Coturnix japonica: one gene and its partners. The protein of the gene in region 2 binds, or shares a complex with, the protein of the main gene of each other region. Links are inferred from orthologs where the notes say so. Each region holds a gene or a part of one and is shown on either strand. Other genes may lie near its edges.

Region 1 (4,284 bases), about 69 Mb from region 2:
TGCAGAGATGATCTGTGCTGCAGCTGTGCCTGCTGTTAAGTACAGTTACAGAACTGAAACATGCACATGCACTGAAGTGAGAACAGGGAAATAACAGACACTGGGTTTTTCCTCTGGAGGAACTTCATTGGGACATTCATGTTATTATTTACAGAAAAGGAGACAGCATTAATTACACACACGCAGATCTTCACCTGACATGACAGATAAGGGAACAAAGATGCCAACTGTGACTCTCTATGTTCCTTTTAATCTGGCTTTACAAGCAGCTCAAGCAATTATCCCAATTAAGGCATACTGCAGTTGCTTAAGAAGAAGAAATAGAATATCTCAAGAGCCCAGCACCCAAAGTGAGCCTTGTATGCAGAACTATGGAGTGCAGTCATTTATATTAGATTCCAAATACTCTAAGGTCAATAAACTTAATTGAAAACTAAGCAAAAATGGCTCAAGCCCTTCTAGGCAAACTTCCTTATGATCAATAATATTAATTCAACAAAACTACAGCACAAACATCTGCAACCATCCCCAAAGCCCATCTCCATCTGCTGTGGGATGTACGGTACAGGAGAACATTAGCACTTCTGCTTCTCTCCGTGTGACATTCCATAAGGTTACCTTCTTTTTCCTCTGAAGGAGCAACAGCTTCTGTTTTGCTTGTGTGGGATTTGGGAACGGGCTGTTTGGATTCTTTCATTACTTCTGCTACAGATGAGATCTTCAGTGGACCTTGTTGTATCTTGAGAATCAAAAATAAGAAAGTATTCATTTTTCAGTAACCATCGTGCAAAGCCACAAGGTAAGAACAAAAGCATCTGAGTCAGAGCCATAACTGGGCAGATCAGGATTTCAGTCTGAGCAGTCTGTGTGATGCTAAAGTTTACTCGGTGCCTGGAAGGCACTAAGAGCCTCCATGATCACAAGTGAAGAACATGCAGCTGAAAACTGCTGCAGGGTAACCTCACTGCAGCCTTCCAGTACCTAAAGGGAGCCTATAAACAGGAGGAAAGTCAACTCTTTGGAAGGGTAGATAATAGCAGGACAAGGGGAAATGGTTTTAAGTTGAGGGAGGAAAGATTTAGGTTGGATGTCAGGGGGAAGTTCTGTACTATGAGAGTGGTGAGGTGCTGGAACAGCTGCCCAGAGAGGCTGTGATGTCCCATCCCTGGAGGTGTTCAAGGGCAGGTTGGATGGGGCAGCCTGGGCTGGTATTAAATGTGGAGGCTGGTGGCCCTGCATGTGGCAGGGGGTTGCAACTCGGTGGTCCCTGAGGTCCCTTCCAACCTGAGCCCTTCTATGATTCCATGATAAAGGGAAACATGCGAGCAGCACCATTACACAGCCGTCAGCTGAATAGGTGATTGGGAGATGCTTACCGGTTTCTTTGGCATGGGCACACTGTACGGTGCAGGACCAAGGGCCATCTCAAACAGTTTGTCAGAGTAGGGAATGGCTTTCTCTACATTCTCCCTGAAGTGTGGATCGTAGCTGGCGTACAGGACGGTTCCCCCGACTCCTCCACCCACAAACAAGACGCTTGCACCGATGATTTTGCCTACAGAAACACTGCGTGGAGAGAGGGATAAAACAGAAACGATGTAAATCGTATTGCACGACAATAAAGCCTCTGATAGGTTTTAAACCTCCAGCCTACACCTGGGAACACCCACTGTGATCCAGAAGGCGGCCACCAACCCAAGAGTGTGGGACAAACCAAGGGATGGAAGGAACCACCCCTCCAACGCACCCGGACTCCCCCGACGAGGTCGCATATCCACGGCTCAGTCGAGGTGGACGGAGCGATGCCCTCCTGCACCAGCAGCTCTGTGAGGGGTGGAGGAGAGCACAGTCAGGCACTGAGCACATCTCAGCCTCAACTCATCCCAATGCATGTTAGTTCAGCTCGGTCTGAGAGCTACAGCAGCTCAGTGCAGAAACCAGAGCTGCCTTTAGACCTGCAGCTCATTCAAGAGACACAAACACGTTTCTTTATGAGCTCCCTACAAGAACAACGCAGCCGCTTTCAAGATAGAGATCTCATTATACTATAAATGAAATTACCATGTGAGGAGTGATATTTTACCCTATTCTATTTAGCGGGGATAACGTTACCCAACATTTTTACCTCCTATTTTACCTCAAAATGAAGATCTGCCAGAAAAACTGGTTAAGCAGTAGTTTCTTAAAGCTGCATCGGCCCCTTTGGCCATCAAATAATCTTGTTTGAATTCAAAGCCAGGCTGGATGTGGCTCTGGGCAGCCTGGGCTGCTGGTTGGTGACCCTGCACACAGCAGGGGGTTGGAACTGGATGATCATTGTGGTCCTTTTCAACCCAGGCCATTCTATGACTCAATGATTCCAAACACGGTGATTTTCCATCCCCGCAGCCGCTCAGGACATGTCTCACACATCACAGAGCTCTATGTGACAGCCACCATCGTTACTCTGCTTTCCGTCTCAGCTCAGTTTCCCCATCACACCCCCATCCTCATTTAACAGCGGTTCCCATCCATCAGCCCAGGCCCCACATCCACAAGGTCACGTCCCGCCGCCCAGTGCTGTCATCGTTAGGCCGCAATGTGCTCACACCGACCAGAACCAGCCGTGCTCCCCCCACAAGGCCCCAAATCTCCCCCCCGCTCCCCACCGGACCCATCCCCGCTCACCTGCGCTGTCACCGCTCCCCCCGCCCGCTGACAGACCCGCAGCATCGCCCCGCACCCGGCAGCACCGACGCGCCGCGCGATGCAACTCCACACACCGGCTGCACGGCGCACTGCGCATGCGCGGGACGCACATCCGCCGGGGGGGGCGGGGATACTGCGCTGAGAGAGTGAGCCGCCATCTTAGGAGGAGTCGCGAGGGGACTGTGCTCCTCACAGCGGGGACTGGGCGCCCTGCGGGACGGGCGGAGCCTGAGCCGGGCTGAGGGACATGGCGGCTGTGAGAGCGGCCCTCACGGGTCTGTGGCTGACGGAGGGAGCCGGGCCGCCATGTCGGAGCGGGGGGTGCCCGTGAAATGGCGGCGGTGCGGGGCTGCTCACCGTCCTGAGGGCTGACAATAGCAGGACACGGGGAAATGGTTTTAAGTTAAAAGAGGGAAGATTTAGGTTGGACGTTAGGGGGAAGTTCTTCACTAGGAGAGTGGTTAGGCCCTGGAACAGGCTGCCCAGGGAGGTTGTGGATGCCCCGTCCTTGGAGGTGTTCAAGGCCAGGTTGGACAGGGCCATGGACAACCTGATCTATGGGGTCTCTATGGGGATCGGTGGGATTTATAGGGTCTCTATGGGGATCTGTGGGATCTATGGGATCGATGGGGTCTCTATGGGGATCTATGGGATTTATAGGGTCTCTGTGGGGATCTATGGGGTCTCCTGGGCAACCTGATCTAGTAAAGGTGTATGTTCGGTGGCCCTGCCAGGCAGGGGGGTTGGAACTACATGATCCTTGAGGTCCCTTCCAACCCGGCTCATTCTGTGATTCTGTCTCTCGTTGCAGGGATGCTGCGCCCGCTGTCACGCTGGGCCCCGCTGGCTGCAGGACGAACCGCCGCCGTTCGGTGCTGCCACAGCCCGGTGTGGGCTGCGGCTCCGCTGCCCAAACCGCCGTCCAAAGGGATCGTGCCCGGCGCACCGTGTCCTTCCCTGGTCCTCAGACTCACTCCTCTGCTTCCCAACATCCTTCAGCAGCCCACGAGGCCCGTCACTTATTACGGCTTACGGAAGGGAAAGAGGAAGACTGTGAAAGCTGTCGTTAAGAGATTTCTGCGGCTGCACTGTGGGCTTTGGGTGAGGAGGAAGGTAGGATTTAGTTTTGTTCAGGTGTTAAAGCAGTGGGTTCATTGAGGGTGGTGATGCACTGGAACAGGTTGCCCAAGGAGGCTGTGGATGCCCCATCCCTGCAGGCATTCAAGGCCAGGCTGGATGTGGCTCTGGGCAGCCTGGTCTGCTGGTTGGTGACCCTGCACACAGCAGGGGGTTGAAACTGGATGATCATTGTGGTCCTTTTCAACCCAGGCCATTCTATGATTCATTGATTCATTGCTTTTGCTCTGATAGACAGAGGAAGCTGGTATGGAAGTTTGCATCTCCTGGCTTCCTAAAAGTGGGGGTTTTGTGCTTATGTGTGAGAATTGCTATACGTCCCTATTGGTAGCAACTCACTGTCTGTTTTCTCCTGGCAGTCTGGTTACAAGAAGAAACTGTGGAAGAAATCTACTGCCCAGAAGAAACGCTTGAGAGAGTTTGTGTTGTGCAATAGGACACAAAGTAAACTCCTGGATA
Region 2 (4,090 bases):
GTATAAAACTCATGGAGACTCCATGACCTGTGGGCATTTTTTGTTTACAAGCAGTATGTATATAAGTATTAGCGGCAGAACTGTTATTTATCACCAAGTTATGTTGTGGTTGATTCTTTCTAAAGTAAATATGTGTTTTATGTCATTATGAAAAATAAGTATTTTTAGTAAGAGCCATCTTGAAATGTTTGAAGCGTCAAAGCTTCAAATACTCGGAATCTTCCATGTTTCAGCCTTGTTTTTCCAAACAACTGTGAGATGAACTGAGAGGTCACGGTGAACCATCTGTCCACGCCAGGGAAGGTGTCTGAGTTGTATCACAGTTTGTGACATCCTCCAACTTTTCTCTAATTACCATCTTGCTTAAGCGCTTTCATGAGCAGATGCTCTACCGACACCATAGTAAATCCTTCAGCTCACTGTAACAGAGAGAGAAAACTGCTCTAACTGGAAGCATACAGGTTAGGCTGGGTTTCAACCCCTGGATAATACAGTATTCTTCGGTTTCACAACAGTATTTTTAATTTTCTACTTGTCTATGTTGAGAGATGACCCAATAGTTTCTATAGGCAGTGAACGTTAGGTTTCTTTTTTTCCTCTTCTCAGATGACTTCTGTGTGAACTACTGTAACCGGCTGCGTTTTTCTATCACAGATGAACTTGTTAACTTTTTGTGTGTCTACAATGAAAACTTATGAATGGAAAACTTCACTGTGTGTTGCTCACTGGGCAGATACCTCATGGTACATTGCACAGACGTGTAAGTTGTAAGTTGCACTGCAACATTAAAAAAAGGAACATATTGCTCTTTTTTCAAAGATATTAACTTATTTAAGAGATATAGTCTGTACATTATTAAACAGAACATTTATTCTTCCTAAATTCAAATGAAGCTTTTGTTTTGGGGGGAGAAAAAAAAAAAGTTGTAAACTTCAGTTGTAAATTTGGACTTCAATAAACGGAATTATCTGCACTTCAACTCTGTGCTCAGGTTGTTTTAGTGCGTGATCACAGAATCACAGAATTATCAAGGTTGGAAAACACCTAGAAGACCATCTAGTCCAACCATTCCCAATGCTTCCTGGCTAAATCATATTCCTCAGCACCACATCCAAGCGTTTCTTGAACACTCCCATAGTCGGTGACTCCACCACCTCCCTGGGCAGCTCTCTATAACTACACTTACGAAGAGTAACCAACAAAGCCCCACGCTGTGACTCAGGCACACACCCAACGAAGGGCAGATCTCTCCGGCCCGGTTCCATCGCCCCATCCGCCGTGCAGCCCCGCCCCGAGCAGGAGGAGCCCTCGGCCGAGCGCTCGGCCCTTCCCTTCCCGCTCGCCGTACGCGGCTGCGGGGCTGTCGCTAAGATGGCGGCCAAGGTGAGTGCCGCCCGGCGCGGGGGGAGGGCGGCCCTTTCCGCTCCGAGGGAGGGCCTGAGGTCCCTCAAAGCCCCGCATCCCGCCGGCTCTCTGTGTCCTGTGCTGCTCAGCTCCCGTCGTAGCCCTGCAGAGGCACCGGGTCGGGCCGCGGGGGCTGTGAGGGCACGAGGTCGCCGTGCTGTCCGGTGCCGCTGTGGGTGGGAGCTGAGGGGGAGGTGTGTGAAGCGGAGCCCTCTGCTGCGGGACTAGTGCCTGTGGGAGCTGCTTCCACACGGCTTGAGTTGTGCCTGTGCAAAATAAACACCAACCTGTAACTGCTCGGTACAGTGACACCTACTGAACGTAGCTGAGGTGATGCTGCCTTCTTTCTCCCCAGTTCTTTGTGATTTCAGTGGGAAGAGTTAAACCTTTCTGTGCCTATGCCAAGATCAGTGTCAGGTAGCAGAGCTGTTCATTGGGTTTTTAAATAGTCATGTGTTTGTCTTCAGGCGTCCAAAAGTGAAGCAATTAGTGTCAGTCAGGAATTGGAGTACTCTCACTGTTCACATTGTAGCTTTTTCTGTTACTTTTACTACAAATAAACTTCGTTGTGACTCTCTGAAGTAATCAAATCTAAGTAAACAATGTAATGCTTTCTTACTTTAAAATTTCCTGGTGGCATCTACTGGAAATGGGAGCGTTGCTTTGGTAGCATCTTGTTCTGAAGTAGGTTACTTCAGTAACAGTACATCTTAAATAGTTTTCTTTAATAATTCATATAAAGCACAGCCTTTTCCTTGGGGATGGGTGTACCTCCCTAAATCTGCTGGAGCTCAGTCTGTTTTTGCAGTTTAAGAAATGCTTCAGGTGAAGAGCAGGAAAGTTGTTGCTGATGGAAGGTGCAGATGCTTCAGTGCGTGTTGGGCTGGTGGTTAATGCACCGTGTGCCTGGGGTGCATCCCATTGGTGTCTTAAGGCAGAGAGGTAAAAAGCAGCTTCCCATGAAGCGGTATTTGAGTTCACCTCTGCGTTAAGGATTTTTCTTTTTCCAAATTTAAGTAGACCTGGAGCTGTTATGACCAGACTTTGTAACTCACACTGTAGCTGACAGGGTTAGAAAGGTTAAGCAGGTGGTTCTTCATTCTGATTTTGTCGCTTACTGTTGACACGTGGTTCTTCCAGACAGCAGTTGGACCATCCTCTGAACTGGGAGATGGCAGATTATTGCAAGTAACACTGAACTTGCCGAAACAAAAATGTCATTCACTGACTTGGAGTAGTTAAATGTTGACAAGGTTAGAACTTAATTTATTGTAAGGAGCAATGAAGGCATCAAAATGACATTGAGCACAGAACTGTGGTCATCTCTATCTCTTTCTTTGCCACTGATATTTGAGAAAATGTCTGTGTACGAAGCATTTATTGAAGGTTGCCTATTTTAGACAGGCTTTTAAAATGACTTGTTTAACCCTGTATTTGGCCAAGCACAATATAGTAGCAAAATTTTGAATGGAATGAGGTTTTATTTCTACATTAAGACTTCCTTCTTTCATCTCTCAGGTGACAAGGCTGGCTGCTGCTTCTTCCTCCCTACCATTCCTGTGTGCAGTATATGCAGCAACAGAGAAGGAATCAACAAGTCAGCTGCTGAAGCCAAACCAGGTGCGGTTCTTACTGCTTTCGTGATTTGTTGCTGTTGATTATCATTAACTTGTAAATAAAAGACATAACTGAGTATTATGTGATCACACAAAGCTCCTCCAAAATAATTGACCACTACAGCACAGATAGAAAGGAATAGTGTAAATGAGTGGAATTTTACCTTGTTTCCATCATTCTGTTGTTTTCTAGAGTTAGAGATAACAGTGTAATACTTTCTGTTAAGAAGTCTTTTCTACCGTACAATTTCTATCAGCAAATTACATGATTCTTCCTACTTGTCTTTCTTTATGCTTTTCATTAATAAAATACGTCTTTGTCACTCAGTGGTTCTACTTCTCCAAGCACGTACAATACTTTGTTTTCAATTGTGAAGAACTGACCTGCAGCCATACCTGTGTAATTAAGTTTCTAAATGTAAAAGAGCGCTATTTGATACACCGACTTTCTTTGCCGAATGGGAAGGCTGAAGATTTGTGGGTTTGAGAAGTGCTGCTCAGCGCCAGTAAATGCAGGTCAGTTCACAGAATGGCCTCCCTGCAGTAGGGTTATACTTGTGATTCCAGCTTCCAATTTACTGCTCGCCGCCTTTGAAATCAAAATACATTGAAGAACAGCCTGGTCGCTTGCAGAAGCAATTCTCTTCAATAAGACAGACAACTGGACACTATATTGGATGGTGTAAGGTAAGAAATGCCTGCCCCCAAGGTTTCCTATAATTCCTAATAGCACTAGACTAAAAGGTTAAAATATATATATATCCTCCTTGACCCTGCTGGAGTTTTTTTGGCAACTTCTTGTGTTATTACAGACCTGTAGTTTCAAATGCAAAAATGAACAGTTTCATTTTTCTCTACTGTTCTTTTAACAGTTCTCCCTGTTTTCCAGTGCAGATGTCAGAGAGCTCAAATAGATCCCTTTCAGTCGATACAAAAGTGGGTCAAGGCCAACTCACGCTGTCAGCTTTAGAAATACTTTTTGCTTAACTTTAGTGGTAAGAGTTCTGTAGGTAACTTCCTGCCAGCATAACTGTTATGTCTGGGTGTCTGAAATTCCAGGTACAGTCCCA
Region 3 (3,941 bases), on a different chromosome or scaffold from region 2:
GCAGTTTTCACAAACATACAAGTCAGGCAAAAACAGCAAACTGAGACCCATACAAATTTATATTTCAGTTATTTAGCTCTATTAAGTACTTAATTACCACCTAAAAGTTGCAATGATATAAAGTAGTTAGTTAGATAAATAGATACTGCTTTGGACAAGATGAAAGGACAGACCACAGTAAAAGGAGTCAGTCTATCTCACAGCATAAAAGGAGCTAAACTCACCTCCTGTACAGTTCCTGCTCCGCAACTGTAGCCTTCTGATCAGAGTTACCTGGTGGCTGGATTCCTAGAGAGAAAGAACAGAAACCCATAAGAACTGTAATACAGAACACAGCCTAAATTGTTTGATAAGAAGAGAATACTTAATACATGTTATTCCATCAAGACGATAAATAACAATCCTAGACAAGTCTCAAGAAAATTTAAATCTGATGGAAATAGACTTAATGAAAGAAAGAGATACTGACAACACTGTCAGCACTGCCTTCAACAAGGCACACTGAACCAAGTAAGGATGTTACACACAGACACTGCTTTATACTGGAAAATAAGCATAGCTTTAGTCCCACTTTCTAGTTGTTTCTTCTAGCTTCATTAAGTCTTCCTGCTTTCCTTGCAATTACAGAGATTAAGTTATTTAATGGAGTTCATCCATAAAATTGAAACCACTTTCGGAAAAGATGTAGGCTAACAGCAAACCAGTTTCTAACAGCAAAGGCCTGGTTCATTAACTTTGTGTTAGTTTGTATGCCTTAAATCCATACTGATAAAGTTTATCAACAAAGTATATTTGCAAACCAATAAAATCAAATCATTTTATTAACTGTAAAGAAAGTAAAGTTCAGAAATCGTGTTCTCACTGTTCACTTGATGTGTCATATAACCTGTGTTTAGTCACTTCCCCTCCAAGAATGAGTTTATTTCCAAAGGACAAAAGGCAGCATCTCCCCCCCCCCCACCACATACTCCCATCTGCATGGAAAAGGGACAGTAAAACAAGTTTCAAGAAACAAAAGATAACATTAAAAAATTACTGAATTACTGCCTTGCTTATTGTGTGTTTATCTGAACTTCTACACTCAAAGTCACACAAGTTCCTTAATGCATCTGAGAACCAAGGCATTCTAAAGACAAAACAAGAGCATCTACATAAACAAGTTGTCTTCCTTAATGTCCCACAACAACAGAACAAGAACCACAGCATTTCAGCAGCTCTTCTCAGGATAGTTCATGCTATGTAACACAAACAGAAGTGCTAAGCAGCATATTGTCCTTCTCACAAAGCACCAACATTACTTCTGATGTGTTCTTGGCAACACCACATAAAGTATTTGCAGGTAGGCCAATAGACATATACAGAAAGAAGACTGGAACTCACCCAGCTGGTGAAGGGGCTCTCCTTTATACACACTCCTTTGCAGGAAGCAGCATAGGTCCAAGAGATGCTTTCCCTTCAGTGGCTGGCATTTATATGAGAGCCTAGGGGGACTCCACCCCTTCTGGTCTCATAGGGAGACCAGGTGCAAACAATTTGCCTGCGCTCCCTGGGCCAGCTGCATCCCTTTACCAAGTGCTCACCACCAGATCAAATCCTGGCCTAACAGTTCCCCTACAGGTGTCAAATCAATAGACCTGACAGAGACTGGCAGTACCTGTAGAAGATTTGGGTTTCCCTTCTGCAGCTGTTGAAGATGGAGCTGTACCACTGGATGAATAGGGTGACCTCTGGCTGCCCCTTTTACTTTGAGATTCTTTCATTCGATTCACTACATCTTCAGTGAGCTAAAACACACACATAAGAAAGCAATTAATCATTTAGTTAACTAACCATTTAATGTACATGTATTTCAGTATAAAGGCGTCTAATTTGTTGGTTTATAAGCTGCTGCAAAACCAGAACTGTTTCTTGGAAGGGACCAAAGACATCTGATCAAACTGCCTGAACACTCAAGGACTAACGAAAAGTTAAAGCATTATCTTTATCACTGGGCATCATCCCAGCGCCTCTTGAACACTGAGGGGTGTTGGGCACCAATCATCTCACTAGGAAGCCTGACCACCCTCACAGTGAGGGTGCTCTGCTGCTCTCCTTGCAAGGGATGGCATTAGAGGCCATACAGAAGTCATTTCCATCTGCCAAGCAGATGGCCGTAGCACACAAGGACACAGAGCTGTGTTACATCTTTCAATGCATCTTCACCTTTCATCTTTCAATTACATCTTTAATTTCCATTAAAGCCAGGCTGTGACCTCAACACTGAGAAACACAAATGCATACTCTATCAATGGGCAATAAAACTTCCAGCCTAAGGACACACTAAGGGTCACACCTGCCTAATTCCAACCTGAAAGGCAGCAGTTAACTCAAAATAATTCCATTCTATAGAAACATAGTGAGAAGGGGCTGCCAATAGAAAGATACCCGGAGCTGTGAAAGCCAACAGAACGCAGCCTTCACGGTCAGCCCACGGGCACACACACAGTGTGTATCATCACAAATGGCATCCAAAGGAATACAGACCAAAGGAATATGAAATACAGCCGCTGTGGGCACAGGCCGGCCCGGGGCTGCCGCACTCCCACCGAGTCAAGCCGCGGCCGGGCCCGCCGCCCCGCAGCGCCTCACCCTGATGCCCTGCAGCACCCGGACTTGGTCCCGCTCATCCAGCCCGAAGGAAACCTTCCTGCCGCCCTGGCTGCTCTCGCTGCCCCCCATTGCCGGCGGGGCGGCCCTTGGGGATGCCTCAACCCCCCCTCCTCGCCCAGCAGCACCGAGCAGCTCCTCCCCTCTGCCGGCGCCTGCCAACATAACGGGATCCCATTGGCGAACAGCACCGAGGCGGCCAATGGTGTGGATTGAACTCCGAAAACAGGCTCCGTTAATACCTGCTAAACTCATTGATTTTTGTTAATTCTCCGTAATACACGTCGTTTAAGAAAGAAAGTATAACCGTTTATGCCAAACTTCACCGTATTCTTTTATTTTACAAACAAAAATATACATTTATTCTATATTTAGGCTCTTTATACACACACACACCCCCAACACACACAACACTTCTGCTCAAGGCCCGTTGTGAACACGGCCCAAAGCCTTATATACAAAGAAATACACCAGAAGGAAGGTCGGCCCATGGCCCAGCACAGGAGCAGCACACAGACTAAAGTCCTGCTGCCAAAGGACAGGGTGGACACACTGACCACCTGCATAGGTGACCTGCTGAGACATTCAGCTTTCAGCCCTGTCCAAGGCCAACAGACTCCAGGGAGGCTCTGCAGGTTTCCCCCACACTTGCAAAGGATCAGAGTGAAAACAGGAGCAATTCGGACACCACATCATCCATCCCTTTGACAAGTAAAATGTGGCTGATGCAGGTTCACATCAAGCAACGGGAGGAGCACAGCACACTCCTCTCTATATATATTACTAATAGTATCAATGCTACCCAGGAGCCTGCAGGGCAAAGTCCTCAGGCTGCAGAACTGAGAGGCTGCATTGCTCATTAACAAAAAGAAGATAAGTGAGGGGCCTGCATAGTTTCAGCAACTGACAGAACTTTGTGTTCTTACCCAAACTGCTTCTTCCCCTAAGTGGGAAATGCTTTCCCTGCACACACTTGTGATTCTAAACTGATACCTCCATGCTGCACAATGATTCCCCAAGAGCTCTCACCCCAATATTGTTTTTCAGGAACAGCTGGAGCAAGAGATACACAGTGCTGAAATGTTTCATATTTCCTCTCTTTCTACTGCTTTTAATGGGAAGTTGCTATCACCTACAGCACATCTCCACCTACCAAATGACTCGGGTAGGTTCCCCTAGAGCTGACCTCCCCAAAGCCAGGGGAAGCACAGTCTGTCTCAGAAACCAGTTTATTGCAGTTATCAGCTTAACAGTCCCAGAATTGGAACAAACTGTCTTGGAACTGCACGTCAAGC
Region 4 (3,075 bases), on a different chromosome or scaffold from region 2:
TATTCCTGTGCTTCATTGGAGAGAACCAACCCCAAACCATCTGCCCCACTTTGCAGGCGAGGAGGGTTCATGCAAGGAGGGAACCAAAGTCAGCTGATGCACGGAGGGGGGATGCAAGGGGAGGGATTTGCCGGCCAGGAGCGAGCGAGCCGACCCAACGACCCTCGCTTCAACCGTCGCTACTGAATGTTTTAATTTCTAACGCTACGTGGCAACTGCAGTTGGTTTGTCCCTGGGGTGTCCGGCCCTTGGAGCTCGTGGGTCACTGTAAGTGGAATTTCTTTTTTAAGCTGCTGCCATACGACGTCACTCGATCCAATGTGAACTCATTTGTTTTGTAACGTGTTGTTCATATCCTCATTTAAAACTGTTTGTTAATGAAGCATTCCATTTTCCATAAATAAAAAAAAAAACAGTTTACAGTTCACGGCTGCAGTCGTCTCTGAGGCACCTACTGCTATGAAGGCATGGAGCAATGGGGGCTATTTGTCAAAACCAACCCCAATGAAACCAGAACTTCAAAGTCTTTTATTGCAGCCCTTGTGGCTGAGCTGTGGGAGCAGCACGGGACGGACAGAATGAGAGCGGGACAGAGGATGTGCTCAGCTCACTTGACGAGATCCTTGAGGTAGTTCCAGCCCTGAGCCGTGTATTCACACGCTCTGCTGGGAGCCACCGACAGGGCAGACATCAGCGTGTGCACCCCTGTAAGGGACATGGACAGTCAGCACAGCACAGCAGCAATGGAGGCACATGGCAGGTTGATTTGTGGCACCAACCCCAACCCCGGCCAGTGTGTGGTTCTATGACAAGCTGCAGCACTGGCCCCTTCCCACAAATAATGAAATGGGATTTTACCTTTATTCCAGGAATCCGAGGGGGAGAAATCCAAGGTTGGAACGGGTGGGAGCTGCAGAGAGAAAGAAAGAAAGAAAGAAAGAAGGGCAGCAATGGGGGGCAGGGGGATCACGGAGCCCAAAGGGGTTTGGTGCTACATCAATGAGCATCAATGAGAATCAATGAGAGTCAATGGGCATCAGTGAGCTCTGGGCTCTGAGCTGCAGTAAAAGCAGAGGGGAAATACGTGACAGCTTATAATAGGATCCGATATGGAAAAGCTGCTGGTTCCTTCAGGGTCTCCCTGTCACTGTGGGTCCAAACAGACCCGATGCTGCTCCTTATCCCCCCCTTATCTCCCCCCTTATCTCCCCTTATCTCCCTTATCTCCCTCTCACCTCCCATCCCACGTGTCCGCTCCATTCTCTCACCGCAGCCGGTAGCGCTTCCCGGGCCCGTTTTAAGGCCTCTGCCCCCTCGGTCCCGCTGCCCAGCAGCCCCTGATCGTACGACACGTACACGGCGGCTCCGGCCAGGCCTCCCTTGATGGCGAACCTGCAGGGACCAAAGCAGTGACTCGGTTCGGTTCGGTCCCGCCGTTACGTCCCTCCCATCCCGGGTCTGACCGCGGTCACTGACCGGATGAGCGGCGCGATGCGGGCGGCCATGACGGCACCAAGGGCAGCGCCGCGAGGGCCGCCGGGAGCCTCACGTGACCGGAAGAGTGGAGAACCACTTCCTTCTCAACCGTTACCACGGCAACGAGCGCACGTAGGAAGCTGCGGCCGCCGCCATCTTGGGGTGAGGGGTCGGGGCGGGCAGTGAGGGGGCTGGGGGCCGCAGGGCGGGGAGTGGGGGCCGCACCCGCTGAACGTGGCGCTGTGAGCGGCGACATGATGGGAGATGAGCGAGATAACGGGGTGATGAGGCCTGACCCGGTCCGACACCTTCCCGTTGTGGGGGGGCAGCCCGTTCTATCGCCTCCATCCCGCCCCGTTCCGCTCGGACTCCCCCCGTCCCCCATCACTGATCCCGTTCCGTTCCGTTCCCGCAGCTCGTTCCCGTCCCGCCCCGTCCCGTCCCGCACACGATGGTTCCCATCACGAAGCTGTTTTGTGCCGCGGGGCTCCTGGCTGCGCTGCTGTGTTTGCGCTGCAGGGACGACCCGTTCCACGCAGGTATCACGGTCCGACACTCGGTAACGGCCGCTCAGTCACACGCAGCCCCCGCTGTGAGCGCGGCCACAACCGGCCCCGGCTGCAGCAGCGGCTCCATCCGCCCCCACCCGCCGCTTCGTGCCCCGTTTCCCCGCACACTTGTGTCCGTGTGTCCGTCTGTGTGTCTGTATCTGTGTCCGTGTGTCCCGTTCTCAGAGCTCCTTTCCGGTGCCCGCGTGCTTCTGACCGGAGCCAGCGCCGGGATCGGGGAGCAGTTGGCTTATCGCTATGCGGCCTATGGGGCTCAGATGGTGCTGACCGCCAGGAGGGAGGCGGCGCTGCGGGAGGTGAGGGAGGAGGGAACAGAACGGCGGGGACTCGGGCTTTGGGCTTCGGGCTTTTGTGGCTGTTTTGTGCTGCCATCCCCTGCACTGACCCCATGTGGGTTCCCCTGTGCTGGGTTCCCCCGTTGCTGTCGCCCAGCAGCGCTGTTGCAGCGCGTGTTTCTCCCACCAGGGGGCAGCACCGCAGCCCGATGTTGCTCCTTATCGCTGCTCCTCCCCCCCACCTCACATTGAGCCATTGGCACAGCGCTGTTTTCGCAGGTGATGGAGAAATGTCTGACCCTCGGAGCAAAGAAAGTCTTCTACCTCCCAGCTGACATGTCTTCACCTTCAGAGCCCGACAGGGTGGTTCAGTTCGCTGTCCAAAAACTGGGTAAGCGGGACAAGAATGGCAGCACAGCCAAATATCTGCTGTATTTACCCCTGTATTTACTGACTGCTGTCTGTGCCCGCAGGAGGGCTGGACTACCTCGTGCTGAACCATATCGGCACTTCCCCGTTTGAGATGTGGGGCGGGGATGTGGAGCACAGCCGCTGGCTCATGCAGGTGAGGATTCCCAGCAGTTCTTGTGATTCTGCTGCTCCTGGGACAACCTGGAGGGGCTCGAAGGCAGATTCAGAGCTCTGCCTGCAGCCGAGGGCAACCGTGTGTGTGTTTCTAGGCTGATACTTTGGAGCCTCCCCTACTCACCTCAGTGTTGTGCTGACTTAACCTTCCTTTCCTCCTGTCGTTCCCA
Region 5 (4,073 bases), on a different chromosome or scaffold from region 2:
AAAGAGTTTTCACTTCAGAACTCAATGCATACTTCACTGTATGGGTTTTTTTCAGTTAAAAAAAGAATTTATTTAACAACAGAGAATAACTTCGGAAACCAAGTCCATAGAACAGTTATGTTTTAGATTTTATTGTTAGAAGAAAATTAAGAGTAATTTAACTCATCTAAAAGCCCATCAAACTGCTTCTTTCTTCGAAAGGAAAAATGTTAGATGTCAGACAAAAATCATATCAACGAAATGGCAATGAGTTCATTACAATAATCTGAATGACACTCCATGTTTTTTCCCCCCACTAATACATAGGAAATAAATGCATACCTGCACCAGGTGGTCGGCGCTGAGACTGCAATCTTCCACTGGGTGAAGAAGGTTCCTTCATACGATCAATGACACTATCAGACAGCTGAAAAACATAACCATCAGTCAGACTGTATCTCCTCCTCCATCTCCACTACCATCAGCCCCTCAAAAATGAAATAAAACTTATTTAAAAACATAGGATAGAGCTTCAAAATAAGACATAAGAACAAAAATGTTATCGACAGTATAAAATAAACTATTTAAACCATCTCCGCCCTCCTTTGTGGGGCGATCGCTTCTCTGTGAGTACAAAGACTGAACATTTTGCTTCTCACAGAACACAAGAAAGTGGTACAGTCAAACAGAGGACACACCACCATCCCTCAGCACATCATTACTTCTATTAAATATGGCTTCTTGCCTTTCTCAATTGATTATCTATTGGATGATGGTCAAACGCCATGCTGTGCAGATGCAGAACTTCATTCTAATAGAGCTCTCAAAGCACTGGAGCAACAGCAGTCATAGCAAGGACTGTTATCCACAGAGTTCAGCCTACTGCTGGCATGTGCACACCCAAAAACACTCACAAATTACAAACAATCAAACAGAGAGTAAGAGTAGTGCCCAGTATCAGACCTACCGTACCCCAAGGTAGAGCACAAGGGCTGCCCTTGAAGTAATGCCTATTGGTCCACAGCGTCAAAGGTGGATGTTGGTGGTATGGCAGTATATGTTGAACCCTCCCCTCCAATATCTATTACATTTTTTTGCTGTGCAACAGAGGCAGAAGAGGGACAGTCTGACAAAGTGGCATCTGACACAGGGATGTGTGGAACTGAACTCCTCCATGTGGCAAAAATTGCATCCACTGACATTCATCAACTCTTGCTGAATGTTTATGGAGACCAAACAGTGGATGTGAGCTCAGTGAGGTGGTACTGCCTATCACTAGTTATATCAATCCGTTTTTGTTGCCAGTATTTCAAATTACAGGATACTTTAAAGAAGTTGCATAGGATACTATACAGAAAATTCAACAGCACTTCCTAGTTACTCTGGTGTAACTTAAAAGTGTCAGTAATTTAACAGTAACTTAAAGTTACCGCCACCTATTTGACCAAGACCATTACACGACCAGACCAGGGAAAAATTAATATGACAAAAGAAAAAGCAGGAATTAACATCACTTTTTGTTATGCAACACTCCTCTCTACCAGCAGCAATCAAAGACACCTAATCATTCCTGCTATGAACTGCAGCATCTTCTGTTGACAAACTTCTGCACTGCACGATTTTGCAGTGTCTTGTGCCACAAGTTATCTGTCCTTTGCTACGTTACAGGCAACAGCATGAATGCTTCTGTAGAGTGAACTGAAAACCAGATATACAGAACCACAGAATCACAAAATGCTGGCTCACATGGCTTGTAAAAGAACGTGGGAACATCACAGAATCACACAGAATGACCCGGGTTGGAAGGGACCTCAAGGATCATGTAGGTCCAACCCCCCTGCTAAGCAGGGCCACCAAACATACACCTTTACTAGATCAGGTTGCCCAGGGCCCCGTCCAACCTGGCCTTGAACACCTCCAAGGACAGAGCATCCACAACCTCCCTGGGCAGCCTGTTCCAGGGCCTAACCACTCTCCTAGTAAAGAACTTCCCCCTAACATCCAACCTAAATCTTCCCTCTTTTAACTTAAAACCATTTCCCCGTGTCCTGCTATTATCAGCCCTTTCGAAGAGTTGACTCCCCTCCTGGGAGTTAAGTTCCCTTCAGGTATTGAAAGGCTGCAATGAGGTCACCCCGCAACCTTCTCTTCTCCAGGCTGAACAAACCCAACCCCTCAGCCTGTCCTCATAGGGAGGTGCTCCAGCCCCCTAACTCATTTCGTGGCCCTCCTCTGTGACCCTTTCCAAAATCTCCATGTCTTTTTGTTACTGAGGGCTCCACATCTGGACACAGTACTCCAGATGGAGTAACATGAGCAGCTCTGAGACGTGGAGGTCAGAGGAGGTAGAACAAGTTCTTCCAGTCACACATCTCTCTTAGCACAGCGTTAGCTCTGCCCTTGGAGACCAGCTGCACTGTCACAGGAAGCTTCGTGCCAAAGAAGAAAGCGATTATCCTGAGGATAATGAAGAGTGAGGGGAGAAAACGGGCAAAACTCAACAAGAGAAGAGAACAAGAGACAGACACCGGCAGCATAATGGCACAAAATAGGGAGAAATACGAGATAGACGCTGGGTTAGCCAGGCCCCACGTGTCCCTCAGATTAGAATGTGTCCCGTTACAGACCCCCCAGGCCCGGTGGAGCCCCGCTCTCACCCTCACACCCTTCACCACCGTGATGTTCTCATTCTCATCCGCCTCGAAGGTGACTCTCCTTGTGCTGCCGCTGCCGCCCATCTTCACCCGGCGCTACAGGCCGCAACCAGGGACAGCCCCAAGGAGACTCTCCGCGCCCGCTGCCAGCTCGCCTCACAACAACGCCGCCTCTCATTGGGCCGCCTTTCGCTTAACCCCGCCTTCCTCGCCTAGAAACCTTCTTCCTATTGGCTGCGGGGCCGTAGACATGGAAACCGCGCACACCCGGAAAAGCTGGGGAAACTTTTTCAGTTCGAACTTCCCGAGGTTGGGGGGGCAGACTACAACTCCCAGAATCCTTAGCTCTGAGAGGAGGGGGGTGGAGCGCGGTGCTCGTGTGCATGGCCCTCTGGGTAATGTAGTTCTTCCCTCAGCCCAAAGAAGTAATAGTTAATAGTACCTCAAGACAAGCCCCTGTGCAAAGTGTCCCTCGGAGCTGTGCTGGAACCCACAGGCTGATCATAGAATGAGTTGGAAGAGGGACCTTTGAAGGTCATTTAGTCCAAATTAGCACCTCAATCCATTTTTATAACGTTATAAAATTACCATTAACCCCCTTGGGCCATTAACTCCTTTCTTTAATTACCATTACCCCCCCTTTGGATGTATAATCTTCGTTCCAAGAGCTGAATAATGTTAATAACACAGAATATATTTTCTCTTCGGCCTAAAATAAAAAGTTCATTTGGCTGCTCTGCAGGTAACATCTGTTCTGTAGGTTGGATGGGGCTGGTAGCCTGCCTGGATTGCCAGATATAGAGAACTATAGAGATTTGTGCTGGGGAGAGGCCTGAGAGGAGAATGAAGTGTTTTCTAGTGTATAAACCTCAGAAAACATACTGCATTTTGGATGCCACCAACGTAAGAAGCATCTCTGAATTTCTCTGTCGTAAATGTGAGGCGAGAAAGGCATTTACATAGTAAGTATATATCACAGAATGCTAGAATCATTTCAGTTGGAAGGGAAATTTAAAGGTCATCTGCTCCAACTCCTTGCAATGAACAGGGACACCTACAGCTCCATCATGTTGCTCAGAGCCCCATCCAGCCTGACCTTGAGTGTCTCCAGGGATGGGACCTCTCTGGGCAACTGGTGCCTCACCACTATTACTGTAAAATCTCTTCTCTTTTAGATTGAAACCTTTTCCCTTTATCCTGTCATAACAGACCCTACTGAAGAGTCTGTCCCCTTCTTTCTTATACCCCTTCTTTAGGTCCTGAAATGCTGCTCTCAAGTCTCCCAGGCGCCTCCTCTTCTCCAGGCTGAACAACCCCAACTTGCTCAGCCTATCCTCAAAAGGAAAGTGTTCCATCCCTTGGATCATTCTTATGGCCTTCCACTGGACACACCGACAGGTCTATACCTCTGCTTTGCACTGGTGAAGAATAATAATAACC

What was found.
Region 1: APOOL (region 2) and IMMT share a complex: the UniProt entries of both Homo sapiens proteins name them as parts of the mitochondrial contact site and cristae organizing system (MICOS) complex. The link is inferred for Coturnix japonica from reciprocal best matches to the Homo sapiens genes APOOL and IMMT.
Region 3: APOOL (region 2) and CHCHD6 share a complex: the UniProt entries of both Homo sapiens proteins name them as parts of the mitochondrial contact site and cristae organizing system (MICOS) complex. The link is inferred for Coturnix japonica from reciprocal best matches to the Homo sapiens genes APOOL and CHCHD6.
Region 4: APOOL (region 2) and MICOS13 share a complex: the UniProt entries of both Homo sapiens proteins name them as parts of the mitochondrial contact site and cristae organizing system (MICOS) complex. The link is inferred for Coturnix japonica from reciprocal best matches to the Homo sapiens genes APOOL and MICOS13.
Region 5: APOOL (region 2) and CHCHD3 share a complex: the UniProt entries of both Homo sapiens proteins name them as parts of the mitochondrial contact site and cristae organizing system (MICOS) complex. The link is inferred for Coturnix japonica from reciprocal best matches to the Homo sapiens genes APOOL and CHCHD3.

Annotation. Positions count from the first base shown.
Region 1 is NC_029519.1:77,508,579-77,512,862, forward strand, and holds the start of IMMT (MICOS complex subunit MIC60), read right to left. Parts: upstream 2,801-4,284; coding exon 2,668-2,800; intron 1,825-2,667; coding exon 1,671-1,824; intron 1,567-1,670; coding exon 1,377-1,566; intron 740-1,376; coding exon 619-739; intron 33-618; coding exon 1-32. Other genes in the region: MRPL35 (39S ribosomal protein L35, mitochondrial), read left to right, coding at 2,936-2,963, 3,500-3,801, 4,185-4,284. UniProt on the Homo sapiens protein: Component of the MICOS complex, a large protein complex of the mitochondrial inner membrane that plays crucial roles in the maintenance of crista junctions, inner membrane architecture, and formation of contact sites to the outer membrane.
Region 2 is NC_029519.1:8,435,797-8,439,886, reverse strand, and holds the start of APOOL (MICOS complex subunit MIC27), read left to right. Parts: upstream 1-1,289; 5' UTR 1,290-1,371; coding exon 1,372-1,383; intron 1,384-2,922; coding exon 2,923-3,024; intron 3,025-3,587; coding exon 3,588-3,707; intron 3,708-4,090. UniProt on the Homo sapiens protein: Component of the MICOS complex, a large protein complex of the mitochondrial inner membrane that plays crucial roles in the maintenance of crista junctions, inner membrane architecture, and formation of contact sites to the outer membrane.
Region 3 is NC_029527.1:7,385,523-7,389,463, reverse strand, and holds the start of CHCHD6 (MICOS complex subunit MIC25), read right to left. Parts: upstream 2,805-3,941; 5' UTR 2,719-2,804; coding exon 2,629-2,718; intron 1,785-2,628; coding exon 1,655-1,784; intron 289-1,654; coding exon 225-288; intron 1-224. UniProt on the Homo sapiens protein: Component of the MICOS complex, a large protein complex of the mitochondrial inner membrane that plays crucial roles in the maintenance of crista junctions, inner membrane architecture, and formation of contact sites to the outer membrane.
Region 4 is NC_029543.1:715,150-718,224, reverse strand, and holds MICOS13 (MICOS complex subunit MIC13), read right to left. Parts: upstream 1,584-3,075; 5' UTR 1,506-1,583; coding exon 1,477-1,505; intron 1,393-1,476; coding exon 1,236-1,392; intron 911-1,235; coding exon 859-910; intron 706-858; coding exon 608-705; 3' UTR 508-607; downstream 1-507. Other genes in the region: scaffold attachment factor B1-like, read left to right, coding at 57-186; HSD11B1L (hydroxysteroid 11-beta-dehydrogenase 1-like protein), read left to right, coding at 1,928-2,015, 2,211-2,341, 2,600-2,711, 2,794-2,885. UniProt on the Homo sapiens protein: Component of the MICOS complex, a large protein complex of the mitochondrial inner membrane that plays crucial roles in the maintenance of crista junctions, inner membrane architecture, and formation of contact sites to the outer membrane.
Region 5 is NC_029516.1:1,800,223-1,804,295, reverse strand, and holds the start of CHCHD3 (MICOS complex subunit MIC19), read right to left. Parts: upstream 2,806-4,073; 5' UTR 2,718-2,805; coding exon 2,637-2,717; intron 407-2,636; coding exon 322-406; intron 1-321. UniProt on the Homo sapiens protein: Component of the MICOS complex, a large protein complex of the mitochondrial inner membrane that plays crucial roles in the maintenance of crista junctions, inner membrane architecture, and formation of contact sites to the outer membrane.